7 linked regions of the Mus musculus genome follow. The protein of the gene in region 1 interacts with the protein of each later gene in a pairwise test. Links are inferred from orthologs where the notes say so. Each region holds a gene or a part of one and is shown in the gene's direction. Other genes may lie near its edges.

The links.
Region 2: the proteins of Pstpip1 (region 1) and Cd2 interact in a two-hybrid assay, tested with the Homo sapiens proteins (2 studies listed by BioGRID and IntAct). The link is inferred for Mus musculus from reciprocal best matches to the Homo sapiens genes PSTPIP1 and CD2.
Region 3: the proteins of Pstpip1 (region 1) and Ptpn12 interact in binary tests that used the Homo sapiens proteins (3 or more experiments, as listed by UniProt). The link is inferred for Mus musculus from reciprocal best matches to the Homo sapiens genes PSTPIP1 and PTPN12.
Region 4: the proteins of Pstpip1 (region 1) and Ube2w interact in binary tests that used the Homo sapiens proteins (3 or more experiments, as listed by UniProt). The two-hybrid records come from large-scale screens. The link is inferred for Mus musculus from reciprocal best matches to the Homo sapiens genes PSTPIP1 and UBE2W.
Region 5: the proteins of Pstpip1 (region 1) and Lsm4 interact in binary tests that used the Homo sapiens proteins (3 or more experiments, as listed by UniProt). The two-hybrid records come from large-scale screens. The link is inferred for Mus musculus from reciprocal best matches to the Homo sapiens genes PSTPIP1 and LSM4.
Region 6: the proteins of Pstpip1 (region 1) and Tulp3 interact in binary tests that used the Homo sapiens proteins (3 or more experiments, as listed by UniProt). The two-hybrid records come from large-scale screens. The link is inferred for Mus musculus from reciprocal best matches to the Homo sapiens genes PSTPIP1 and TULP3.
Region 7: the proteins of Pstpip1 (region 1) and Pcdhb20 interact in binary tests that used the Homo sapiens proteins (3 or more experiments, as listed by UniProt). The two-hybrid records come from large-scale screens. The link is inferred for Mus musculus from reciprocal best matches to the Homo sapiens genes PSTPIP1 and PCDHB14.

Annotation. Positions count from the first base shown.
Region 1 is NC_000075.6:56,117,476-56,120,975, forward strand, and holds part of Pstpip1 (proline-serine-threonine phosphatase-interacting protein 1), read left to right. Parts: intron 1-1,001; exon of another isoform or gene 1,002-1,051; coding exon of another isoform or gene 1,052-1,128; intron 1,129-2,825; coding exon 2,826-2,860; intron 2,861-3,071; coding exon 3,072-3,178; intron 3,179-3,500. UniProt on the Homo sapiens protein: Involved in regulation of the actin cytoskeleton. May regulate WAS actin-bundling activity. Bridges the interaction between ABL1 and PTPN18 leading to ABL1 dephosphorylation.
Region 2 is NC_000069.6:101,275,408-101,277,939, reverse strand, and holds the end of Cd2 (T-cell surface antigen CD2 precursor), read left to right. Parts: intron 1-1,666; coding exon 1,667-1,983; 3' UTR 1,984-2,032; downstream 2,033-2,532. UniProt on the Homo sapiens protein: CD2 interacts with lymphocyte function-associated antigen CD58 (LFA-3) and CD48/BCM1 to mediate adhesion between T-cells and other cell types. CD2 is implicated in the triggering of T-cells, the cytoplasmic domain is implicated in the signaling function.
Region 3 is NC_000071.6:21,007,412-21,010,911, reverse strand, and holds part of Ptpn12 (tyrosine-protein phosphatase non-receptor type 12), read left to right. Parts: intron 1-1,327; coding exon 1,328-1,470; intron 1,471-3,500. UniProt on the Homo sapiens protein: Dephosphorylates a range of proteins, and thereby regulates cellular signaling cascades. Dephosphorylates cellular tyrosine kinases, such as ERBB2 and PTK2B/PYK2, and thereby regulates signaling via ERBB2 and PTK2B/PYK2.
Region 4 is NC_000067.6:16,616,452-16,620,750, reverse strand, and holds the start of Ube2w (ubiquitin-conjugating enzyme E2 W), read left to right. Parts: upstream 1-1,499; coding exon 1,500-1,514; intron 1,515-4,299. UniProt on the Homo sapiens protein: Accepts ubiquitin from the E1 complex and catalyzes its covalent attachment to other proteins.
Region 5 is NC_000074.6:70,672,099-70,676,030, forward strand, and holds the start of Lsm4 (U6 snRNA-associated Sm-like protein LSm4), read left to right. Parts: upstream 1-1,132; 5' UTR 1,133-1,356; coding exon 1,357-1,359; intron 1,360-3,932. UniProt on the Homo sapiens protein: Plays a role in pre-mRNA splicing as component of the U4/U6-U5 tri-snRNP complex that is involved in spliceosome assembly, and as component of the precatalytic spliceosome (spliceosome B complex).
Region 6 is NC_000072.6:128,353,052-128,357,277, reverse strand, and holds the start of Tulp3 (tubby-related protein 3), read left to right. Parts: upstream 1-1,426; 5' UTR 1,427-1,499; coding exon 1,500-1,540; intron 1,541-4,226. UniProt on the Homo sapiens protein: Negative regulator of the Shh signaling transduction pathway: recruited to primary cilia via association with the IFT complex A (IFT-A) and is required for recruitment of G protein-coupled receptor GPR161 to cilia, a promoter of PKA-dependent basal repression machinery in Shh signaling.
Region 7 is NC_000084.6:37,503,027-37,507,063, forward strand, and holds the start of Pcdhb20 (protocadherin beta-14 precursor), read left to right. Parts: upstream 1-1,237; 5' UTR 1,238-1,396; coding exon 1,397-3,796; 3' UTR 3,797-4,037. UniProt on the Homo sapiens protein: Potential calcium-dependent cell-adhesion protein. May be involved in the establishment and maintenance of specific neuronal connections in the brain.

The DNA of each region.
Region 1 (3,500 bases):
TTTGGTGCATTGTAAGGACAGGCTAGGTATTTCAGGAGCTGTCATGATACCGCACACACCATGATCAGCCTTCCTGTCTGGTCCTCTGCTTCTGCCCAGACCCTCACCTTGCTCAAGAAGTAGTCACCTCCTCCCACTCTTCTTCTTGCCACACCAGGAGGGATGCTGTGGGTGCCTTGGAGAACAGAGTGGACCTTGGCCAATGTCCTGTGAGCCCCTCTGTGGTTACAGATGAGCAACATTAGCCCATGGGCACCTTAAAGCCCACCTGACCTTCACCCCTCCTAAACACAAGTGCTGAGATGGTCCCATCAGAGGAGATTTCATGTGTTTTATGATCTCTGCTCCACTGAGATCAGGGTGAAGGCATGTCTCCTAGTGAGGAGCAGTTATACTGTGAAACTAGACTTCAGCTAGAGTTTCCAGGTCTCCTGAGAGCCAAGCTACAGACTAGCAGGTTGTGTTGCACGTTTGCACATTGGTGATAAATGCCGAAAGTCAGAATCATTCTAACCTGTGGTCACCTTCCTCTGCAAGGCTAGCCTTGACATTTTATCTTTTAGGATTTGCATTTGTATGTCTGCTGTGCGGATGTGTGCAGGGGCCCGTGGAGGCCAGTGGTGATGGCTAGGGCTGGGGTTACAGGGCTGCGAGCCATCTGATGTGGGTGCAAGAACCAAATGTGCTCTTAACCCCTGAGCCATCGATAAGTGCAGCCCTTGGCCTTGAGGTTTTGCCTCTTACCACCTGGATGGCTTTTGGCCTCAGTGACTCAGTTTCCTTATCTGTAAATGGCTTGTGGGCCCGAGGCGGAAACCATTCAGGCTATCCTCATCCTGAGTGTGTCAGCACTGGAAGGTTAGGACTAAGTGGTCAGCGGTTGGTCACTGGCAGAGGCCTGCACATCTGCATATCTCATGGCTCCCAGGCTGTTGCTACTGCTCCATGGTCTTGTCAGGCAAGACACCTGGCAGTAACTAGGACCCCATAATCCTCCTTAGGGCCTGGATCTCCAGGGGTCCTCTCAGGTTGCCACTCCTCCTTGGCCTCAATGTCCCCAACTGTTCAGAGAGAAGAGGAAGCCCCCATGGAACATATTCATCCTACCCCGGAAGGAAGCACAGGCAGGTGGGCTTCCCTTACAGTTCACCCAGGGAATTGGTTATGTGACAGGTGCCACATGACTATATTACCACCAGGGGGCGGAAGAGCGCCCTGCAGAGAGGCAGTGAAAGCTTGCAACAAGGGCGCTACTTAGCTCTCGATGCTGAGCGTGGAGCAGGCTGTGCCACCATGCGTTTGCTTTTGTGTCCTTAAGAGACGTAGTACCCCTAAGCCCAAGCTGGGAGCGCAGAGGCACATCTCCCTCACATGCACGGCCTGATGTCACTCAGCTGCCGGAGAGGCTCTGGGAAAGGACGGAAGCTGGTGTAGCCAGGCAGAGACTCCTCCTACCTGAAGTTAAGGATGCCGCTTCTGGGAAGGCGCCACTGGAAAACTCTTCCAAAGTGCAACTGGGGTTAGAGGAAGACCTAGTTCGGCTGCTGGTGCCTGGGGGATGTCCTGGGGACTGGCGGAGTTTGCATATGTGTGAGTGTGACAGGCATGTTAAGCTCCTGACTTGCGCCAGGCTTCAACGATGCCTTATAGTGAGTGGACTATCATTCTCAAAACCACTTTGTGCTGCTAACTGCTCACCATAGAAGGGAAGTCAAGGCAGAGGGCCAGGTGGCTTGCCCAGGGTCACACAGTGAATAAGTGGTAGAGCCTGGCCATCTGGCTACAGGGTGTGCTGCTTTTGTGTGTGGAGACCGGAGTAAGAGGCCACCGCAGATTTCCTAGGTTGGTTCCCACACACACTATCTGCCCCCTCCTCTGAATGGAGCACATGCCTCTCGAGGGCCCTGCTCCTGAGAGCTTGGACTCGCGCTCACAGTTTCCGTATTGGCCCCAGGACTCCGATACCCACCGATAAACAGCAGTGTGTGCTGGCCGAGCCGGCATCTCTGCTTGGCCCTCAGCGCTACCATGCTCTGGGGTGAACAAGGCTGCCGGAGAGAATCCAGGGCGCCCAGTGTGCTGTTCAAGTAAACTGAGCAGAGTGGGGATTTCTGTGGGAAGGGGGTGGGAGCAGTTGGGACAGAGTCTTTTTTTTTTTTTTTTTTTTTTTTGGTCGCTTATGATGACCTTAAACTTGTGGCCTGTCTGCCTCTGCTGCCCAGGTGTCACCCCCACTTGCCCAGGGGCTTCCACTTTACCTGGCAGCCTCTCCTGCTTGAGCACTGTTCTAGCTCCCATACAGCCTCCTCCTTCCCCTCCCCTTGGTACCCAGCCTGAAGCAGATGCCATAGCTGTCCCTGGCTCTGTCCCTGCCCACCTCCCAGCCTTTCCTTATGCCTTCCATGCCACCTGCTGGAAAGAGCTATAAAGACCTTCCCCTGCGTCAGATTCATCCAGGCAATATTGAGTATAACCAGGTGCCTGCATGGGCGGAAGTCTCATAGAGGCTGGGAGCTTCCTGTGGACACACCCCTCTTCTCTGGGCTGCAAAGACATGGGGAGTGAGAAAGTGGGGGACAGAACTGCCGTAGCAAGGAGGCTTTCCCACCACAGCAAGGTTCCACTGCTTTTTAATTTACAAAGAAAACTGTTTTCTAGAATGTCAGTTGGGGGTTACATGAATGATGACCATGGCCAAAGGTCCCTTGCATCCATAGTAGTCAATATGGCTTAGGGCCCTCCCTCCAAAATAAAACACCATGGGTCAGGCAGGACGCCAGGCTCCTGCAGCATGCTGTCTACTGACCTAGACTTCTGTTTTGCAGTTCCCTGAGGACCTCCTTTGACTCCCTGAAGCAGCGTAAGTTCCAACCATCCCCACATGGGCAGCAGGGCCATTAGGGTCTCCTGGAAGACCCTTAGCCCTTGTATGGGGTGACTAAGTTAGGAGCTATGTGCTTGGGCTGTGGTCCAGCTCTGTGCCAGGCTGAAAGGCTGATGGAAGATGTGAGGGTGGGAGGTAGGGTGAGGGAGACAGACTGGTCCAAGCAGAGGCCACGCTGTCACCCTAGAAACAGAGAATGTGGGCAGTGCACACATCCAGCTGGCCCTGGCCCTGCGTGAGGAGCTGCGGAGCCTGGAGGAGTTCCGAGAGAGACAGAAAGAGCAGCGGAAGAAGGTGAGGGGGTGGGGAGGGCGAAGGAGGGGAGGTGGGGGACCCCCCCAGAGGCCACCCACTCACTGTTCTGGGGGCCAGTTGGGAAGCATGGCTTGATGAAGGGGGGAGAGTGTGTGTATGTTCTAGCTTGCTTTCCTGTTGCTGTGATAAACCCCTGACTTGGGAAGAAAGGTTTATCTTCTCAGGTCACACTCCATCACTGAGTGAAGTTAGGGCAGGAACCTAGAGGCAGGAACTGGAGCAGAACCGAGAGAAGGAATGTTTCCTGGCTTTGCTCCCAGCTCATGTTCAGCCCCGGTTTTCTCACATAGCCCAGGTCTAC
Region 2 (2,532 bases), on another chromosome or scaffold:
TGTTGCTGCCTGAGTCATTACTGAGGTGTAGCAATGGGCCTAACACATAGAACACGAGAGAAAGCACAGGAGGGGAAAAAAATGCCACAAACAGAAGAGCCAGCAGAGAGTCATGGGAGCGTGCCACTGTGCAAGAAGGACCACCTGCTGGTCTGTGTCTAGGACCCTGGATTAGGGTCAAAGTCTCACCTATACCCCTCCAAACACCTCAGGCACTTCTGGGGCACCGAACATGGCATAAAGGACATGTTCTGTCTTTTGGGTGTCTTTTTATGTATGTGCTTAGAGCACGCAGGTCCCTCAGGTGTCAAAGCCACCTTGTTTGCCTTTGAGGCTTTGTGTTCGTAGTGCATTTACAGTAGTTACAGTAGCCAGTGTATTACCTGGGGTCCATATGTCAGCCCCCTGGTGATGTGGAGACATGCTTTTCAAGACAAATGTTCTAAAAGGGTACAGGCAACCATTCATTTACCCCGCAGAGAAGCTCCCCCTGGCTCCTTGAGGAAGGCTAAGGCACAGGGAGTGGAATACCAAGAATGTGCCCTGAAGGAGCCCAGCAGTGGCTCCAGGCTTCTGCCAGCTGCCTGTTCCCACAGATTTTCTGTGTGGCTTAAAAACAGTGTAAGAAGATCGACACAGTCTCAGGCTTGTCTTCCTGGACAGAAGCCACACAAAGAAGAAAATCCCCAAGCGTGGGGAAAGGAACCATCTTTCCCACTGAAGCCCAAGAGCCGGGTCTTGCTTACGAATTTTGGAAGAGCTAGCCCATTTCTCAGGGCTAGATTGTCCCTTAGAGGGCACTCCAGTTTCCTTTCAGAATGTGGCTTGTGTGACAATCAAATTGAGCAAAAGGCAGACCTACTGTAGAGACTTCACAGAAGATGTATAGTCTCTGATGCCCTTCACGACCACTCAGACCTGGGTTCAGTGGGCTCGGGCCCTGAGGGTTGTTGCTTAGCAACCTTGCTGATTATCTCTAGGCAGCATCCAGCTACAACTCCCAGATGCAATACTCACTCCAACACTCTAGAGCCTTAAGTACAAAGCTCTCCACCCAGGTGTCTTCTTCCCTCATATTTTTGAGTTCTAAAGAGGCCTAGGTCTCAGGGTATCTATGGCCAACGTTTCTCTCTCCCCTGACACACCCAGAACTTGAAGAGGGTGGGAGTAACTTCCCTTTCCTCTTCACATCTCCTGAAGCCGCTGGTTTGATGCCTATCACATGAAGCGTGTTCAGTGGCCGCATCGTGGGGCTGGGGAGGCAGCTCCATTTCTAAAGTGCTTATTTTTCAAGCATGAGGACTGAAGTAGACTCCTCAGAACCCACATAAGACGGGCAAGGTGGTACTTGCAACCCCAGAGCAGTGGCAGGTGAATTCCCTGGGCCTAGCTGGGCTTCTTGATAAGTTGCAGGGCAAACAGAGACAGAGAGACAGTAAGAGAGAGCAAGAGAGAGAGAGAGAGAGAGAGAGAGAGAGAGAGAGAGAGAGAGAATTAATCTCAAAAAGAAGAAAAGGCGACAGTGCCTAAGAAATGGCATCAGAGGTTATCCCTTGGCACACACATACATGCTTATCTACATATGTACTCACACACACATTTGCACACCCGTGTTAAATTGTTCACTATTGTCAGAATGAGTTCTTAAAACGTCTTGCCATTATAGATGAAGAGCTGGAAATAAAAGCTTCCAGAACAAGCACTGTGGAAAGGGGCCCCAAGCCGCACTCAACCCCAGCCGCAGCAGCGCAGAATTCAGTGGCGCTCCAAGCTCCTCCTCCACCTGGCCATCACCTCCAGACACCTGGCCATCGTCCCTTGCCTCCAGGCCACCGTACCCGTGAGCACCAGCAGAAGAAGAGACCTCCTCCATCAGGCACACAGATTCACCAGCAGAAAGGCCCTCCTTTACCCAGACCCCGAGTTCAGCCAAAACCTCCCTGTGGGAGTGGAGATGGTGTTTCACTGCCGCCCCCTAATTAAGAAGGCAGAGTTCGTCATTTCCAATAAAAAGCTGTGTGGATTTATCTTCTTCAGGTGAGCATGCCCACTCTTCCGTCTAGTGTTTAATGGAAGTAGGACCCAAGTGCCTCCCGAGACTTGCAGGACAAAGTGGTGTCTTTTGATTCAGCTACACAGTCACTTGGTCTGGCCTCTGGAATCTGAGGCCTCTTCTTAGATCTGTCGCGGCAGAAACACAGAAACCACAAACATGTGCACATAAGGATGTTGGACAAGCAGCATAAAGGTTTCACCTTCCTCTCAGGTCCTCTACCCATGTGAGCTACCACATGACCGCTGGCTCATGTCCTACAGAGCTACCTGAGCAGAGGTTCGAGTCCCCCAGGTGCCCCAATGGACACTGGCCACTTCCCTTGAGCAGGGGTAAAATAAAAATTTAACCCTGCTTGTTTTAGAAAGGAGACCAGGGTCTGAGATAGGAAGCTGCAAACTGGGAAAGAGGCTGGTTGGGGTGACAATATCAAATCTGGTCCACTCGGGCCACTGGATTGATCTTAGGAGCCATCACCT
Region 3 (3,500 bases), on another chromosome or scaffold:
ATTATTAGTCTGTCTTGGTCACTGTGTTAGTCAGGATTTCTATTGCTCTGACTTAACACCATGAACAAATACAACGTGGGGAGGAAAAGGTTTGCTCAGCTTACACTTCTATGTTGCTGTTGAGTACTGAAGGAGGTCAGGATAGGAACTCAGACTGAGCAGGGACCTGGAGGCAAGTGCTCATGAGAGTTCATGGGGGAGGCCTGCTTACTGGCTTATTTCCCATGGCTTGCTCAACCTGACTTATTATAGAACCAGGACCACCAACCCACAGATAGCATCACCCACCATGAGCTGGGCTCTAGCTATTGATCACTGAGAAAAGGCCTTACTGCTGAATCTCATGGAGGCATTTCCTCAACTGAGGCTCCATCCTCTCTGATGCTAGCTTGTGTCAAGTTGACACACACAATCATCCAGTACAGTCTTGTCACAGCATTCTTCCCAGCTCATTGTAAGGCTACCTACTTTCTGTCTGGCAAGCGACACACAGTCTTTCTTCTCACTGACTGGACTAATGATAGCCCTTTAGTTGAGTCATTTCTTTTACTCAGGTTGCACATTTTATCTCTAGTTAGTACCTTAACTCCTACAAGTGTATCAGATATATCAGTTATTCTAACTATAAAAGTATGTATTGCATAGATAAAAGGGATTTGAGAAGTTAAATAATTTGCCTATTTAGTAATTGACAAATATAGAACTTGCATATTGGAACTGAAACCCAAGCTCTGTTCTTTCTACTGACATCTAGAATAATCAATCTTAAAAGTTATTGAGGGGACTAAGGAGACTGCTCCAAGGTTAAATGCCCTTGCAGAGCTCCCAGGTTAGTTTCTAGCACAGCGCTGATGGCTAGCCACTCACATTCCACTCAGATCTAAAACTCTCTTTGACCATGGGGCATGAGGCACACACAGCATACATATGTCCGTGGACTCATAAATGAAAATAAATAGTTTTTAGAGTTACTGAGGCATCTTTGGATGTTTAATTTATGCGGGCTATCACTTTCAATATTTACTATAAGGTTAAAATTGGGGAAAAAATTTAAAGACGTGGAATACATAGCTTACAAGTTTGTAAATACATTCTTCTAATTACTGAATTTCTGCTTTTCTTTTTTTTAATATTTATTTATTATTTATATGTAAGTACACTGTAGGTGTCTTCAGACACACCGGTAGAGGGCATCAGATGTCATTATGGATGGTTGTAAGCTACCATGTGGTTGCTGGGATTTGAACTCAGGACCTTTGGAAGGACAGTCAGTGCTCTTAACTGCTGAGTCATCTCTCCAGCCCCTGAATTTCTGCTTTTCATGTAGGAATCCCGTCGGCTCTATCAGTTTCATTACGTGAACTGGCCAGACCATGATGTTCCTTCGTCATTTGATTCTATTCTGGACATGATAAGCTTAATGAGGAAATACCAAGAACATGAAGATGTGCCTATTTGTATTCATTGCAGGTACAAAATAATTTTCTAAATGTAGAGAAGTACAGTGTTTATGTTTTGTGAGATAAGGTTTTATTTCTACATTAATATGATGTTTTATTATATCTTGAGCTTTTCCTAGCCCTGTTATGGTGTGTTTGAGAATAAGACCCTGTGAATTGATATAATCTAATCTGGTTAATAGACTGTCTAAATGTTGCTGTAAAACATCATATTTCCTCATATGATCAGTGTCAGGCAAATTTTCATGAGTGATGAAGTCTCAGACTTTAAAAACTGTATATAGATATAAAGGCCTTACTGATCTGAGATCCCGTGGTCTGCAGAGAAGTGCTGGGTGTAGGGACACGCTTATAACCCCAAACCAAGGAGGCTGATGTGAGCTTTAGCCGCTCAGGGCTACCTCCCGATAATGTTGTCCCTTAGCAGAAAGAAGGGAAGGAAAGAGAGGGGACAGACAAAGCCTTACCTGACACATACTAAACATGAGAGTTTAAAAGAATTCATTGCTAGTTACACAGCATAGATGTCATTTGTAAGATATACCTGAATTTCATAGCTCTTACGATGTAGATTGTAAGGTGTTTTCCAAGTGACAAACATCCTGTGCTGGATTTTGTTCCCGAGGAGCAAGCTGCCATGTCTGTACCATTGTTGTCATACCCTGAAATTATAGTTTACAAACTTCTGAAATCTTAAGCAAACATGAAACGAGCATTCTTTTTTTTTTTTTTCACCTTTTAAGGAATTATGGTGGGTGATATTTATTGTTAAATATTCTAATCTCCCCACTTTTTTTTTTTTTTTTTTTGAGAATTGAAGGCTTATCACTGCATCTTATGTAGGCCAGGCTGGTATCAGACTTATTAAATAGCCAAGGCTATCTTCCTTGCCTCCACTCTTCTGCTTGGATTATAGATGTGTGCTATGATACCTGACATAGCATTTTTGTAGTAAGTTAAATATAAACTGTTGGTATACATTTACTGGACATCTTTATTAAATTGTGCTGTGTAGCATTGCCCAAAGTAATGACCTGCCCCTTAACAGGCTTAAGTTTAGCTATATCTCTGTTAAACTGCTCTGTAAAATGTTTTCACTCTTTCCAGGTAATACTAAGTTCCAATTAGTCTTTGCAAATTTAGTCATGTTGAGACATAAGAAGTCATGTAAACACAGCCTTCAAATTCTGCCATTCTTGAAGGGGTAACTAATTTTGTGTTCCGAGTGCAGGTTAGAGGTTGTGTTAAATAAGAGCAGGTGTTTTTAACTGAGCTCATTGACCTGTTTTTATTGTCTGATTATTTTTCCTACTTATAAGCCATGAAATATTTTAAATGAAAAGCAAAGAAACATTCCAGTTGGAAGGAAGATAGCCTTAATTTTTTTTCATATCTGGGAAATTAAGAATGTGTGCCTAAACATTTATAGGATTTTTATGTCCTTAAATATTGTGACTTCTTTGTTCCCTGTCTCATCTGACAGACTTTCTACTCCAGTAAACTCCGTATTATTTATGATAGAACTAACGAGCTCTGAAACACTTTTCAGAAAGGTTTGTTAATGTTCTGTGGCTTCTTTGAATGACCACTACTCTTTTTTTAAAAGGCGGGGTCTTAATAGCCAAGGTGAGCCTTGAACTTTTACCTCCCCATTCCTAGGATACCAAAGAAGGAAGAAACACCTTACCTAACTTAGTTTTAATGTAAAATTATTCAAAGGCTCCCTAAAGTGGCTCATGCCTATAATCTCACTGCATAGCGACTGTCGGAGCCCAGCCTGGGCCGCAGAGTGAGACTATGTCTCACAAAGACGAAGAGAATTAACAACAATACAATCCTAAAGGAGCAAACCAACAAAAACCCAAAAACCAGGGAGACAGCAAAGGAAACAACTAAGCTAGGTTTTAAACACAGGAAAAATAGCTGCTACTTGAATTGTATGTTTTTTCTATTGCTGTCATAAAATATCATGACCCAAAATAAATTTAAATAAGAAAGGGTTGACTTAGCTTACAGTTTCAGAGGATGAGTGTGCATAAT
Region 4 (4,299 bases), on another chromosome or scaffold:
AGCTGGTACATTACAGCCTGAGATCACAGGGACAAAGATCTCTGGAAGGCCTGGTGGAGACTCTTTCCTGTAAGCGTACCTCATCACTGGGCTATGTGGGCACTTTGTTCCATGTTGTGATGGTAACGACATACCTGAACTGATAGCGGATATGCTTCTGGTTGAGTCCTGTACTCCAAGTCATGCAAACCCCATGGAAAAGTTCCTCCATGGTGAAGAGAAACCGTCTTGAATATTACACCACAGAAAAACTGGCAGATTTAGACATCTTTTCCTCTCTTGAACACATTTCCTTACGGATGTTCTCAGAGGAACATCGTGCTCTAGCTTAAGTGTGAGAGTGATAACCTACATCACCATTATATTTATATTTTAGAGAAATGTCTAAAAATGAAGCCAAGTCAATAAAAATAAAGATTTAAACTTTCATCCGGGTAAAGTAAAAGCCTTCTACTCAACATGCCATCCTCTCTGATTCCTTTAGAGACAGGACATGAGGTGCAAGCTTTTGGCTTCCATTTTTCGTTTGGTATTTAAGTAAACGACATCTTTGGTTCCGGAGGAGCTTTAAAAATGTGACTTCTGATAAATGCTGGCAGAACTGGTGCATTCCTAGAATAAATTCTGTATGCTCAGCGATTTCTACTCAAGCTCACTCATAGGTCGTCTGATCATGCAACTGCCCACCACAGAATAGGGTGAAGAGAAATCTAGGCATGGCAGAAGGTTTAAGTATTAAGTATTAAGTATTAAATTACGTAAACTATATTCATTATATTGAGATTTCACGGCTAGAGTCAAATTGTTAATCAAAAGTAAGACTGATGTAACAACGACTCTTATGGTATACCTGGACTTTACAATTTAGAGGGTTAGGGAACTAGAAAATTGCACACAAAAGGGAACTCCATTATTCACCCTCCTTCCCTTTCCAGCACGTTTCAAATCCAATTGTTCTTGCTTTTAAGATCACTGCTCTCAGTTTTCATTCTGTCCTATAGGGAAACCTGTGACTCTCTGCCCCTCAAAGTAGAAGCTTCCTAGGTCTGCAAATACCAGAAAGCATCTCCAGGCGAAGTTGTATCTGCCTCAGGAGCGAAAACACGGTAGGTGTAAAAAAGACATATGAAGGGGGTGGGCTGTAAATCTTACACTTGTAGCTGGAAAAACAAAATGAGATCCCCTCCCTGCCAAATGCCCGGACAGCATTGTGACCTCGGCATAACGCTTCAGTCCGACCTGGAGCAGCGCCTCCGCCAGCACTGAGGGTGGGCCCGCGTATAAATTGGCTGGGATGCAAGGTACCTAGGGAGCCCGGCCTGGCCCCGCCCCGCCCCGCCCCGGGCACCCGCGCGCTAGCCAATCGGACACGCGGGCCCCTTCCCATCGGCGACTCCACCCCCGTGCCCGGGATGTTGGGCCCCCGCGGCGTGACGCGAGCACGGCGGCTCCGCCCCCTGCGTCTCGGGCCTCGCTGGCCTTGGGGGGATGGTTTCATCATGGCGTCAATGCAGGTGAGCGGAGCTGCTGCAGCGGGGAGGGCGAGGGGGCCATCGAGACGAGGTGAGCGTCTGCGCGGGGTCGGCGTCCGAGACCTCTGGGCCTGGCTCCGGGCGACCTTCCCTGACCTCGGGGCGTCGGGGGATCGCCTGGCGGCGAGCCGAGCGGGGGTGTCGGCCGGTGGCCGCGGACAGTAGCGGCCGCGAAGTTGTGGCATAAAGGCGGCTTAGGGGGAAGAAAGGGCGAAGTTCGTCGTGCGCTTCGCGGTGGGGGCTCCGCTCCGCGCCCCTACGCGAGGATGCCTGCCGCTCGGCTCCCTGGCCACCGCCGGGATGCTTTTCCCCTCGCGCTCCCCAGCGGGGTGGAAACAGCTGTGCCCGCCGCCGTCACCCGCGGTCGGGGCGGCCGGAGACCGGCAGAGCCCCTCGCCGAGGACGGCCGCCTGCCCACGGCGCTCCGCGGCCTCTGCCCGGCCTCCCACGCGCAGCCTCGGATCGCCGGACTCATGCTCGTTCTTCTCTGATCTTCATCCGGTGCCCGGTGGGTGCCTCCTTCTATCAGCCCGCACTCTGGGCATTCCCTGGCAGCCCACGTCTCTTCTTCGAAGCCGCCCTTCGTCCCTGTCCCCAGCGTCCTGTGCTACCACAACGTGCGAGCTCGTGGGCCTGCTCCTCGGCCTCGATAGAAACTCGCCCTCTTAAATTTTTTTTTCTTGCGATGCCCCACCCTTGCGGGATTGGTAAGGCCGTGGCTCCTTTGCCTTTCTTTCCCAGACCTTTAAAACCTTAGTTTGGTAGGAGACGCCTGTTAACCTGTGCTCTGTCAGACTTGAAGGTGTTTTTTGTAGCTTCCAACTTAATGTATTCCCCCCCCCCCTTGCAAATCCAATAAAAGAAAAAATTTTCAGGCAAAGATGGCAACCACAATTGTAGTTTCTAGAGATTGCATTATCTATAGCCGGCATTTAATTTGCAGATAGGGCTAGCGGTGTTAAAGCACATAGGAAGAGAGAGTAGAACTCTTGTAGCGTGTCAGCGGAACGCTTTTTGGAGTTTTAACATCATCCTCGAGTAACATCCGCATTTTCCTTAGAATTTTTGGTTTTTGTTTCTAGAAGAATAAGCAAGATCTCGTTGTTGGCGCTTCTCTGCTAGCAATGGTTTGCATTCTTACGCATTTCCCTCCTTCCCCTGTATCTTCCTTCAATCAGCTTTCCTTATGGTATTCTTTTTGCATTTGCTTGTACTTTTGGCCTTTCCTGCAGTAGCATTCTTAGGTGAAGAGGTGTCACGAAATGGTGCAGTGAAACAAGAACAATTTCAGGAAACGTTATACTTTACTAGTCTCCCCAGAGACGTTAGAGAAGTTTCATCATTTGAGGCCAAAAAAGGAACTGTGGAACATCAGTTGACAGCAGATGGGCTATATGATTGCTTTAAGATTTTTATCTGTATTAAGACATTATTTGTTACTAACACTTGACGGTGATCTGTCTTAAGATACAGGCATTATTTAAGACTAAAAATGAAGATTAAAATCCACACTGGGATTGTATCTGGCATGAGAGCTGGTTAGCTTTTATACTTAGTTTTTGGAAAAGGCAGATTTGTTTGTAAGAGATTGCTATTTTTGGAATTTACTTTGTCTTCAGCAGTGGGGGAAAGTGCTTTTTATGCCTGTTTCTATGCCTCAGGCAGTGCTGTGGAAGAGTAGCAGCGTCTTTCTTTTGTTGGATTAGAGTGGGAACGGATCCTTTCTGTTCTAAAGTTAAATCTTGACCTTTTATATGTATCTCTTTTAAAGTATCTGATCATTTTTCCTGGAAATAGTAGCATTTTGACACAGATTTATTTCTTATTTCTTAATTGTGTATGTTATCTCTGGGTGGGTATGTGGGTATGAAAGTACCTGTGTAGGCCACACCTGCTCTGGATCTGAGTTACAGGTGCTTGCCAGGTATTGGCTATGGGTGCTGGGAATCAAACCAGGGTCTTCTCAAGAGTAGTTCTTTCTCTTAACTTCTGAACTGGCTCTCAGCTCAATAGCAGAATCACTCTTTGGTGTGGTTTTCATTTGGTATCTTTGCTCAAAGTTTATTTCCTGACCATCTTTACAGCAGAAGTTAACTCTTTTCAAAATAACTTAACATAACACTATAAGTGATCAAATGTGTTCATTAATTCATCTTACCCTAGGGGATATTGTTTTTGCTAAAGAAAAGGTTACTTAAGCTGCTGTATTTTAAAAACATGCATACATATGTAATGTGGGGTTTGATTACTTGGTAACAATGAAATAATTTTTATATATAGTAAAACCAAGTAAGGAAAGTCTTCACTTCTAACTAGAGAATGTGGACTTTGAGATTATAATTACCTTTATGTTTTTGTTTTGGCTTTTCTGGAACTAGACCAGGCTGACCCTAAACTCTCAGGTCCACTTGCCTCTGCCTCCTGAGTGCTGGATGAGATTAAAGGTGTGCGCCACTACTGCCCAGCTTGCTTTTATGTGTTTTATCTTCATTCATTGAAACCGGTTCTTGCTGGGTAGCCTATGCTTACCTCACATTTGCGCTCTTCCTGCCTGGGTCTCCTGAGTCCTGGGCTTGCAGGTTGTTCCACTGTGTCTGACTTTGCTGTCATGCATCCTGCCAGTGCTTCTCAACTTTCTTCCATTCACACTAAGTACAGTAAGATAGATGACGATGTTGGCGGCTGGAAGAGCCCAGCCCGGAAGCTGGCTAGGAAGGTGAGGGATACAGGGTTTTGTTCTCATGCCCATGTGCTGTGGGGAAGCTGC
Region 5 (3,932 bases), on another chromosome or scaffold:
CCAAGAACTGGCCAATTCCAGACAAGTCCAGGCCTCAGAAGCTGCCCCACCACCTGGCCTGAGGCAAGGACAATGGGTAAGCAACAGTTTCCAGACCTCCCCAGTAAGTTTCCAGCCCCCGCAGCCCTGCCATGGAACGTCCATAGAGATGGACCTCACAGATTAACATAGAGGTCACCTGCCCCGGAATTTCCTAATGTGCTTTAAATCAAACCTCCAAGTTAACATGGGTGTCTATTTTGGTAATTCGAGACTCCAGCATGCTCAACTTCTGCATAATAAGACACTCTTTGAGTTTTCATACTATTTGAGTCCGGAATATCATTCTTTGGCACCCCTACTGGGCAAGCATGAGAACCTGAATTTGTAGCTCAAGAAGACACATTAAACCATGGTGGTGCACACCTGCAATCCCAGCACTCACTAGGATCTCTGGAAGGTCGATACCAGCCTGGTCTACATTGTGTGTTCAAGGCCAGCTAGGGATGTACAGAGAAACACTATGTTCCTCCCAAAATGATAATGATTTTTTTTAAAGCAAGGATTAAAGCTTGATGGCCCACAGTGGCCATCCAGCAGTGGAGAAGCCGAGTCGGGGTCTAATGCAAGTTCATGATCGGCTAGCTTCAGCTGCCACAGAAGCCCATCTCAAAACAGGAAAATCCCAGAGATTTGTTTTCACTTCCTGTCGCCAGGGAACGCCAGACCTGCCGTTCGTGTTCAAAGATTCTATTTGAGTTGGTAAAGACAAAGAGATCCATAAGGGCAAGAATGGAAGGCTAGAGCTGGGCAGTGGTGGCGCACGCCTTTAATCCCAGCACTTGGTGGGCAGAGGCAGGCGGATTTCTGAGTTCGAGGCCAGCCTGGTCTAGAGTGAGTTCCAGGAACAGCCAGAGCTACACAGAGAAGCAATGTCTCGAAAACAAAACAAAACAAAACAAAGAATGAAAGGCTAGGAGCGCAAAATAGGCACCGCGCGACTCGCATGCATTAGCCAGCTTCGCCCACAGTGTGGCGCCGAATTAGGCGCCGAACCAGATCCAGGAGAGCACCTCTGCGCAGGCGCCCTTTCCCAACATACACCCCGTAGTGGGCGTAACTTGTGCTGCGGCCTTTTGCGTCGTTCTAGTGTCGCACTTTACGGCTACCTCTCAATCCCACCGTAGAAATACGGTGAGGCCGTCCGTCTTGTTCCGTAGGTACCGCCCTAGCCCGTCCCGATTGGATAGATGTCCGTTGAGCTGCTCGCTGATTGGTCATAGTTTCTGCCAGTCTTTTTCAGTCTGGGGCGCGCGGTGGGCCGCCGGTGGGAGCGCGTGTGTCTGTGCCGCGGCGGAAGTTATCGCTGCAGGGAAGATGGTGAGGGCCGCGAGGCGGAGGGGCGCGCGCAGGGTCTTCGGGCTGCTGAGAGATGGGGGAAACTGAGGCCGGAGTGACCGGTGTCCCTCCAGGGCCCCAGACGGTCACCGTTGGGGATTTATCTCTTGATGGACACGGTTTTTGCGACCGGAAGAGGGACTATGATCGTTTCCGGGGCTTGTCACCGTCATTGATAGGAAAGCTGCGTTTCCGGGAAATGGGCGGGCTTAATGGCTCACGTGGGCTTCGTTGCCCTCTTGATGCTTATCTGGTGTCTGACCTCAGCTGCCCACGCCTTTGGCTGGAAATCCAGCTCAGAGAGCGGGTTGATTCTCTCCCTGGGACACACAGCATGTCTTGCTCAGGAAGAAAGGATTTTTTTTTTCTCCTAGTTTAGGCTCAGGCCTCCTCAGTTTGGGGACTCTTAGACCTGGCATAAACAAGTAAAGGAGGCCAGGTTTCCCCCTGCTCTGTCGAGGGGCGCGTTGGCCTAAGTGAGGAGAGCCACATATTCCCATCTCCCCAGTTCTTGATGGTAGGATATTTGGTTTGTTTTTTGGTTAGGCTTTCTGATCTGAACTGACATAATCCAGGCTAACCTCAAACTCCTGATCCTCTTGCTTCAGTCACTGGAGTATGGAAAGGACACGTGTATACTCCACATTTGAGTCAGGATGTGAGGCAGGGTCTCATATAGCCCAGGCTGCCTTTGAACTCCATTTGTATACATGCATCACTGTGAACTCCTGACCCTGCCTTTACTCCAGAATGACCCTGGGTTTTGTGGTGCAGGAACTCTAGGCCTAACACATGCTAGGTAAGCACTCCCCACTGGGTGTACCCTGAGCCTTCCTGAAGGGATGGCCAGGTGCGTCCAGGACTGGACACCCACCTCATGCAGGTGCGCACAGACACTCCCATATCTCTGCGGTCAGGCTGGTACAGGAGTGTCCCAGCTGAACATTCCTGAACTCAGAGCCCTAGACTTGGTTCTTTAGCTATCTCATCTACACACTGGATCCCAGAGAGTCTGGATGATGGCTGAGAAGGAATTTCCCTTCCTGGAACTGGCTCCTCTAATGGGAGGTGCTGGGACTGGATTCCAGAACGGGTGGCTATAACACCTGCAGCTGCTCTGTGTAAAGCTATGTCTCCTCCACTCAAAAGCCTGTGACTATCCCAGCTCCAGCCTCCCTGTCTGCCCTGGCCCATTTCACTCTGAGCTTTTTCTTCCTTCATTTTGGGGAGACATTCCTAATTACTTCTTTCATTCCTCTCTCCCACTGCACACACAGTAGGGGAGTGGGGGGTTGTGGTGGCCTGTCCCTACACCACACTTTTCTTACCTGTGGCACTGGACAGGATGCACCTGTGCTGGGTGTCCCCACCCCTGCGTGTTCAGCAAGTGTTTACTGCTCCTCCCTGCTGCAGCAGAGCCCACGCCCACACTGACCTTGTGTCTAGCCAGGGAGACTGATGCTAATCACCCATAATTAGAGAGCGGCTTCAGCTGCTGAGCTGGAAACAGGCTGGCAGCCTAGGGTGGCCATTAGGGTCCTGACCACAGGAGGGGACATGCTCAGCAGGATTGGGCAGAGAGTCTAGGGAAGGGCACCCTGGGTGGTGGCTGGGGCCCTGGCAGGAGGAACGAAAGTTGAGCAGTAAGGCTGGACCTTGCCATCGCTGCCTCCAGGCTGTGCTGGGCCATAGCAGTTCCGGAAGAGCTTTGTGTGCCTCTATTCTTGTTTAGCAATGTTTGCCCTTGAGCCCTTGCTGTGCCTTGTATTTGGGAGTTTGACTATTCTATTCCTTTATTGAAACAGGATCTCATGTAGCCCAGGTTAGCCTCACACTGTAGCCAAGGATAACCATGGCTCCAACTACCTGGAGCTTAGCCATAGGATGCTATACTGTGGCTCTTTTCTGCTGTTTATTTGAGGATCAGGGTGGACACCATTGTCACTGATCACCAAGGCCACCCACCCACCCACCAGCCATTTTCACAAAAGTCATCCTCTGCCTCCTACCCTTCCAGGAAGCCTCTGCAGGAAGTGGGCTAGAGCTTCACTTCCCTGCCACTAACTCCTCCCCGCCCCTCAGCTCTTCTTGGGAAGGGCCTTGTACTGTAGGCTCCCCCAGTCCTCTCATGACCCAAAGTCCCCATGCTGGGCATGATGGCCCTGAGGATCTGGGGCTCTTGTTGTTTGTTTCTTCTGTTTTTAAAATGATTTATTTTTATTTCATGTGTTTTGCCTGCATGCATGTGTCTGTGAGTGTGTTGGATCCCCCTGGAACAGGAGTTATAGATGTGTGAGCTACCATGTGGGTGCTGGGAATTGAACCCAGGTCATCCAGAAGAGCAGCCTGTGCTCTCACCTGCTGAGCCATGTCTCCAGCCCCTCGTGTAGTTGTTTGTTTGTTTCACTGTGTAACCCAGTTGGCCTGGAACTTATAGATAATTCACCTGCCTCTGCCTCTCAGTGCAGGGATTGAATGTGTGCACTGCATGCTTGGCTGTAATTTGATTTTTGTGTATTTTGAAGACAGGTCTAATGTAGTCCAGGCTGATCTCA
Region 6 (4,226 bases), on another chromosome or scaffold:
AGTGTGAGGCTCAGCGACTGGAGAAAATCAAGAGAGAGCTCTGGTTTTTAATGGTTGACAGCCTTGGCTCAAAGGGTCCCAAGCCAGGCCTGTGTTGGTGAATACGATGGGGTCAGAGAGCTAGGGGACGGATGAGTACTTTAGGTTTGTGTTTTGAGATGTGTTTACAGTGGAAGAAATATGACGCTATCACATGTGGTGGAGAAATGGATTCCTATCAGTAACTTATCCTATGTGTACATAAAGTGGAAGCTCACACTCTAGTGTGGGTAGTGTGGATGTGCCTGTCTCAGTGGTCCTCTTACTCATTCAAATAGCATCTCTTTCAACCCTACTCATTTAGCACTAGCCCTTTCTAGACCAAGCAGAGCTTATGAGTGAAGATTTGTAGCACACACACACACACACACACAAAGGAGCAATCCAGAGTCCCACAGGGAGAGGGGCTAAGTGAGTGCAATGCTTTCCTAGCCTATGTGTGCAGGTATCATATTCCCTAGTTTTCAAAAATTAATTTCTGGGACCTGGAGAGGTGGCTCAGCAGTTATGAGCCCTGGATGCCCGGAGGCGCGAGTTCTATTCCCAGCACCCACATGGTGACTCACAACCATCTGTAACTCCAGTTCCGGGGTATCTGACAGCCTTGGGCACCAGGGATGCATATGATATGCAGACATACACATAGGTGAAACATACACATAATAGCCTAGGGCACGATGGCACATGCCTTTAATTCTAGCACTAGGGTGACAGAGGCAGTAGGATCTCAGAGTTCCAGACCAACCGAGGATAGTATAGTGAAATCCTGTCTCAAAATAAATACATTATTTTTTAAGTGAATTTTTGGATTCAACATCAGTGTGACTTTGGCCTTACTAATTAAGTTTATATGCTATAGTTCTGGTCATAAAGTCCTATAGGGACCAAAGCCACAAAGGCATTGATGGCTGGAGGCATGATTTACTGCAGAGAGGACAGCTTAGCTGCTACCCTCACTAAATAAGGACATTTGCTGAAGGTCCCCAGGTAGGGATCCCTCAGTCGGGCTTTGGGCAAAGGCTGGTTTGGGAGGCTGAAGGCCTCGGCTATCCCAGAGTCGGTGGTCAGATGCTGAGGCTTCAGGTGATAAAGAGTAGAAAACCCAAGGCAGCAGCCTGGATGTTCTCGGTGCCACAGAGGGGTGCTGGGGATCGCTCTGTGGGGGCCAGTCCCGGAGCGGTGGAATGGAGCAGCAGACTCTTCCGACCCAACCCCGGGGGGCTGCTCCCGGATCTAGCGCACGCGCCTTCGCCTCCCGGTGCCTCCCGCCCCCTGGAAACCCTCCAGCATCATGGCTAACGCCATTTGCCAGTGAGAGGGGAGCGTAGGGCACTGGACCAATGGGCGTCGGCGACAGTGCGGGGTGTGGTTGTCAGGGGCGGGGCCCGATCTCCTCCATCCTCTCCAGCCGGGCGGCGGCGTCTCGGGGTCTGGACGCTGATGCCACCGGTCGGGCGGGTATGGAGGCGGCGCGCTGCGCACCCGGACCCCGCGGGGACAGGTCAGGCGGCGGTGGGGCGGGCTGGGGTCTCCAGGGTGGGCGGGCAAGAGCGGAGGCCAAGATCGGGTCCCCAGCTGAGCAGGCGCTTTGCACACCCCGCGTCGCCAGAGCGCTCTCGCGTCTCTTTCCTGGAATTTACCCCGAACCTGCTCACCCTACTCCCCAAGGGCCTCCGATTCCCTCATTTGCAATGCGCTGTGCATCCCGTGCCGCCAGCACTCTTGAGCCGCTCCCCTGGAGTTTACCCTGGACCAGCTCGCCCTGCTCCCCTGGGGTCTCGATTCCCTTACTTGCAATGCGTTCGCCCTCCCCCATGTCTTTCACGAGTAGGATCAGAACTGAGCTGGAAGGAGGGCACTCTTGGGAGTCGACGCGGAAGGTCGCGAGTGATGGTTAATTGGTTCCAAGGCCGTTGCATTTGGCAGTCATTGCGGAATTCTGGAACGAGTCCGAGAGCTGAAAATGCAAAACTGTTCTTTTCTTCTTTCTTCCTTCCCCTGAGTTCTAGCAGTTCTTTCAATCAGGACTTAGTTTAGACTGATCCGTACTCTTGCTCGTGCCCCTGGCTTTTCTACCAATACCCCTCTTTTTGCCTGGTTCACATGGTGAGCTTGGAAAGACAAACGGGCTGCAATCTCAGCCTGTTCATTTCTTGTCAGCTAGGCTAACGAAAAGTTAATGGGGGGCCGTGTGAAATCACTGGCTCAAAACTTTGGCATGGTGTGAGGATTAAAATCAAACACGCCAACTACATTCTTCCTTTACCATTCCATTACCACAGCGATAAAGGCTTGGCGTGTTAGGATTTGGTCTGACGTTTAAACTGGTTTTTAACTGATCCGAAACCATATTTTACAAAGTTATAAAGACGGAATAGCGACCCCCCCACCCCCCGTGGGTCCCATCCAGACTAGGCTTCCCTGAAACTTAATAATAAGTTAATAAGGAGGACTTTGAACATTTGCCCCCTACCTCTGCCTCCCAAGGCGTCACCTGTTTTAATCTTTCATCAACTAAATTCTATAAACATGATAGCTGCTCTCTGAAATTTGTTTACAACTTCTCCATTTTGGGAACCGAAGATCCATTTACAAGGGTAAGGTCGGGGTAGGAAAGTTAGAATTCAGCGTGTATCCGGTTGAAATCAAATGATATCGCGTTCAGTTGAGGGATTTAGTTGTTAACGAAATGATTTTTAGAGAAGTAAATTTCTTAGGGATGTGATTTTATTTTTATTTTATTTTTTGAGATAGGTCTTATGAAGCAAGACTGAAACTCGATATTCAAACCAGGTTAGCCTCAAACTCATACAGACCCATCTGACTCTGCCTTCCATGACTCATGATTTTAGGGAACAAGGACTTGACTTTGAAACTGGGACCAGCTGGCAGGTTTTTGTTTTGTTTTGTTTTCATCTCCTGGACTTGAAGCTTTAAGCTTTAATGCCTCCTCCCCCACCTTTTCTTCCAAAGAAAGAAATCGACTCTTTAATTTCCAGTTGATTGACAGGAAAGGAGCCCGTGGGAGCCCCTAGTTTCTCCTGCCCTAGGAAGAGCATGCAGGTTTGTTGCTAAAAGCCAGTGACTGCCTTGCTTTTGGGGTAGTCATTAAGAGTGTTTTGAGAGAGACTTCGAGACTGACTTGACTGAAAGTCAGTATAATCCAGTGGTCCAGGCTAGCCACAAACTCAAAATCTTCCCTGCCTGAGCCTCCCAAGTGTCTCCTGTAGGCATGTATCACCAAACCTGGGTGGACTTGTGTGCTAGGTGTCTTCTCTCTCCCCCTCTCTCTTTGTCTCTCCCCCGCTCTCTCTTAAATTTGAAATTTTCTTTACATTCTGACCAGAGTTCTCCCTCCTCCTCTCCTCCTCCCAGTATTCCCCCCCCCCATCCACTCCTCCCTTTCTCTCCTCCCATGGATGCCAACCAGCCATGGCATATCGAGTTGCATTAAGACTAGGCACCTCCTCTACTTTTAAGGCTGGAGGAGGCATCCCAAGAGGAAGAAAGGATCCCTAAATCAGGTAACAAGAGTCAGACCCAGGGGGCTGGTGAGATGGCTCAGTGGTTAAGAGCACTGACTGCTCTTCTGAAGGTCCTGAGTTCAAATCCCAGCAACCACATGGTGGCTCACAACCATCCGTAACGAGATATGACTCCCTCTTCTGGTGTGTCTTTAGACAGCTACAGGGTACTCACATATAATAAATAAATAATAAAAAAATTAAAAAAAAAAGAGTCAGACCCAGCCCCTGCTCCCACTGTTAAGTAGACCAAGATACACAACTGTAACATGTGCAGCGAGCCTAGGTTGGTCCCGTGCAGGTTCCCTGGTTGGGGGTTCATTCTCTGTGAGCCCCTATGAACCTAGGTTAGTTGATTCTGTTGGTTTTCTTGTGGTGTTCTTGACCTCTCTGGCTTCTTCAATCCTTCCTCTCTTCCACAGGATCCCCTAAGCTCCACCTAATGTTTGGCTGTGGTCTCTGCATCTGTTTCCATCAGTTGCTAGGTGAAGCCTCTCTGATGGTGGTTATGCTAGGCACCTGTCTGCAAGTACAGCAAACAGAATGTCATTAACAGTTTCAGGGGTGATCTCTCTTTCATTGCCTGGGTCTCAAGCTGGACCAGTCATTGCTTGTCCATTCCCTCTCCCTCTGCTCCATCTTTACCCCTGCACAATCTACAGG
Region 7 (4,037 bases), on another chromosome or scaffold:
ATCACTACTGAGGTAATGCCACATAAATTACTTGTTTTCTCTTAAAAGACTTTTAGTTAATTTTCTTCTGGTTGCTCTGCAAATGTCAGCTTACAAATTTCAGTGACTAAAACCTTTGGAGGCAACACTATAGATAAGGAGACAAAGGTACATACTTTCTCCAGGTCTATAGAGCGTGAGTGACAGAACCATGATTCAGTGTTCCTAAATATTATCCATTTCCTAGGGTGCAGTTACATGTCTCTTCAAGATGTTTCTGTTATTCTTTACCTCTGCAGTGTTATATCTTTAGTTACTAGCTAATCGATTTTTTATTCCCTTCAAGTTCCATAGAAAGATCATCTTACTGTGTCATATCCTCCCATATGCACATGAGCACATGTTTGTATGCATGTGTGTATATGTGTCTTCAGACACCGTGTCCCTACATACTCTCAGTGATGCATATGTGTATATGTGTCTTCAGACACGGTGTCCTTACATACTCTCAGTGACATGGAGCTCACTGTGTAGACCATACTCACCTTAAACTCTATAGGTCCCCCTACTTCTGCCTTTCAAGTGTTGGCATTGAAGGTTTGAGCCACTGCACCTTACTGTGTTTTTAATGTAAAAGCAAGGAATCCAATATTACCTTGTCTTAAGTTCACTACTAACAAAGAAGTAGTGTGTTGTGTAGTTTTCATGACTCATGAGTGTATGTTTGTGTGTAAGTGTAAATGGTAATGTAATTGGATAATGAACTCACCCCAACAAATATTTACCAAAGCGGTGGTAAATATTTGTAACTACTAAAGAATTGTCATGAAATAAATATTTTTTATTAATTTGGGGACACTTTATTGTATCTTTTTGAGCTGAACATTCAAAGCACTAATGATTTCATACAGAGTATGGTCTGTGTTTGGATTCCAATTCAAACAAACCAACAACACAAGACATTTTGTAGAAAAACGGGAAAGCTCAAACAGACTGAGTTATAAGCTATATGCAAAAAGTATTTCTACACATCTATTGTGGTAATGATTTGTAATTATATTTTAAAGGCTTTGATAATTATAAATAACAGATGAATATTTAGAAATAAATGCAATCTATGTGACATTTGCTTTTGAATATTCTAGATAGACATAAAATTTTAGGAGAAAAATATTAAATGAAAAAATTCACAGAGACACATGGTGGCGCTATAGGATAAGATGAAACTGCATAGCCAGCCCTGTGGGCTCCAGTATCTAAAGGACCAGAGAACAGACGATTCCATGAGAAGAGAGGTATTACAGGAGCTTCACCGGCAGAGCTGCCAAGGGACTTTCAATAGAAATATCGGACCTTTACCTGTAAAATTTGGGACTGGGTTTAAATTTTGGAGTAAAAGAAGTCACCTGAAGGAACCATGGGAAGGAGAAGGGCTCTCATCCTGCAGAAAAGGCAAGTCTTGGTTTTCTTTGTTTTCCTGGGATTGTCTCAGGCGAGTGCTGAATCTTTGCGCTATTCTGTAGCAGAGGAAACAGAAATTGGCTCTTTTGTGGCTAATCTGGCAAAGGATTTAGGACTGGGGGTTGCGGAGCTGTCCTCCAGGGAGGCCAGGGTAGTGTCAGATGATAATAAAAAGCATTTACTCCTTAATTTGCTGACTGGAGATATGCTCCTGAATGAGCGACTGGATCGTGAAGAGCTATGTGGCTCCACCCAGCCCTGTGTGCTGCCCTTTCAGGTGGTACTGGAAAACCCCTTACAGTTCTATCGAGCTGAGCTGCACGTCAGAGATATAAATGATCACTCCCCTACATTCCTAGACAAGGAAATAACTATTAAAATATCAGAAAGCACTACTATCGGAGCCACATTCTTAATTGAGAATGCACAAGATCTGGACATAGGAAGCAACAGTCTTCAGGACTACAGCATTAGCCCCAGTTCTTATTTCTATGTTAAAATTCATGACAGTGGCGATGGAAAGATATACCCGGAGCTGGTTCTGGACAAAGCTTTAGATCATGAGGAGGAATCTGAGCTTAGATTGACACTTACAGCATTAGATGGTGGGTCTCCACCCAGGTCTGGGACAACACTGATTGTCATAAAAGTCTTGGACATCAACGATAATGCTCCAGAGTTCGCTCAGAGTTTCTATGAGGTGCAGGTCCCAGAGGACATGCCTATTGGCTCCAGTATTACTGCCATCTCTGCTAAAGATTTAGATATGGGAATTTATGGGAAAATTTCATATTCATTTTTGCATGCATCAGAAGATATTAGAAAAACCTTTGAAATCAACCCAACATCTGGGGAAGTCAATTTGAGATCACTAATGGATTTTGAAGTAATACAGTCCTATTCTGTAAATATCCAAGCAACAGATGGTGGAGGTCTTTCTGCAAAATGCACTCTTTCGGTTAAAGTATTAGATATAAATGACAATGCACCAGAAGTGATCATGTCGTCGGTTACAAAGGCAATTCCAGAAAATGCTTCAGAGACCCTGGTCGCTCTATTCAGTGTCCGAGATCAAGACTCTGGAGACAACGGAAGGATCCTTTGCTCTATTCAGGATGACCTTCCATTTATTCTGAAACCAAGCTTCAAGAATTTTTTCACTCTACTTTCTGAAAAAGCACTAGACAGAGAAAGGAGAGCTGAGTACAACATCACCATCACTGCCTCCGACATGGGCACACCCAGGCTCACAACCCAGCACACCATAAGAGTACAGGTATCTGACATCAATGACAATGCCCCGGCCTTCACCCAAACCTCCTACACCATGTTCATCTACGAGAACAACAGCCCTGCCCTGCACATAGGCACCATCAGTGCCACAGACAAAGACTCAGGCTCCAATGCCCACATCACCTACTCGCTGCTACCGGCTCAGGACCCAGAGCTGGCCCTCGCCTCGCTCATCTCCATTAACGCTGACAACGGGCAGCTATTTGCGCTCAGGGCGCTGGACTATGAGGTCCTGCAGGCCTTCGAGTTCCAAGTGGGTGCGACAGACCGAGGCTCGCCCGCACTCAGCAGCCAGACTCTGGTGCGCGTGGTAGTGCTGGACGACAATGACAATGCGCCCTTCGTGCTCTACCCGATGCAGAACGCCTCTGCGCCTTGCACTGAGCTGCTGCCCAGGGTGGCAGAACCTGGCTACCTGGTCACCAAAGTAGTGGCTGTGGATCGCGACTCTGGCCAGAATGCCTGGCTGTCGTTCCAGCTGCTCAAGGCTACAGAGCCAGGGCTGTTCAGCGTGTGGGCGCACAATGGCGAGGTACGCACTACCAGGCTGCTGAGCGAGCGCGATGTGCCCAAGCACAGGCTGGTACTGCTAGTCAAGGACAATGGCGATCCTCCGCGCTCTGCCAGCGTCACGCTGCACGTGCTAGTGGTGGATGGCTTCTCTCAGCCCTACCTGCCTCTGCCAGAGGTGGCGCGCGACCCTGCACAAGAAGAAGATGTACTAACACTCTACCTGGTCATAGCCTTGGCATCTGTGTCTTCTCTCTTCCTCTTGTCTGTGCTGCTGTTTGTGGGGGTGAGGCTGTGCAGGAGGGCCAGGGCTGCCTCTCTGGGTGGCTGCTCTGTGCCTGAGGGACACTTTCCTGGCCATCTGGTGGACGTTACTGGCACTGGAACCCTGTCCCAGAACTACCAATATGAGGTGTGTTTCACAGGAGGTACTGGAACGAATGAGTTCAAATTCCTTAGGCCGGTCATGCCCAGTCTTCAGCTCCATGACCCTGATTCTAATATGCTGGAAAAGGAGAACTTTCGCAATAGCCTTGGTTTTAATATTCAATAAAATTTTCCTTTAAACTTAATATTTTCTATTAACAAATTGCAAATGCTTGTTTTACTTAATCTGTATTGAATTTAAGGTTTTACTGATGATGCATGCATTTTTGTTTCACGTGTTTTTCTCACAATTACTTTGAAAATCTTTACTGGGTTTATAGTGATGCAAAGAAACTATCTGCACGTTTTGTTTTGTTTATTTTGCCGAGGTGTTATGTTAACGGTTCTGCTGTTTCTTATATAAGACA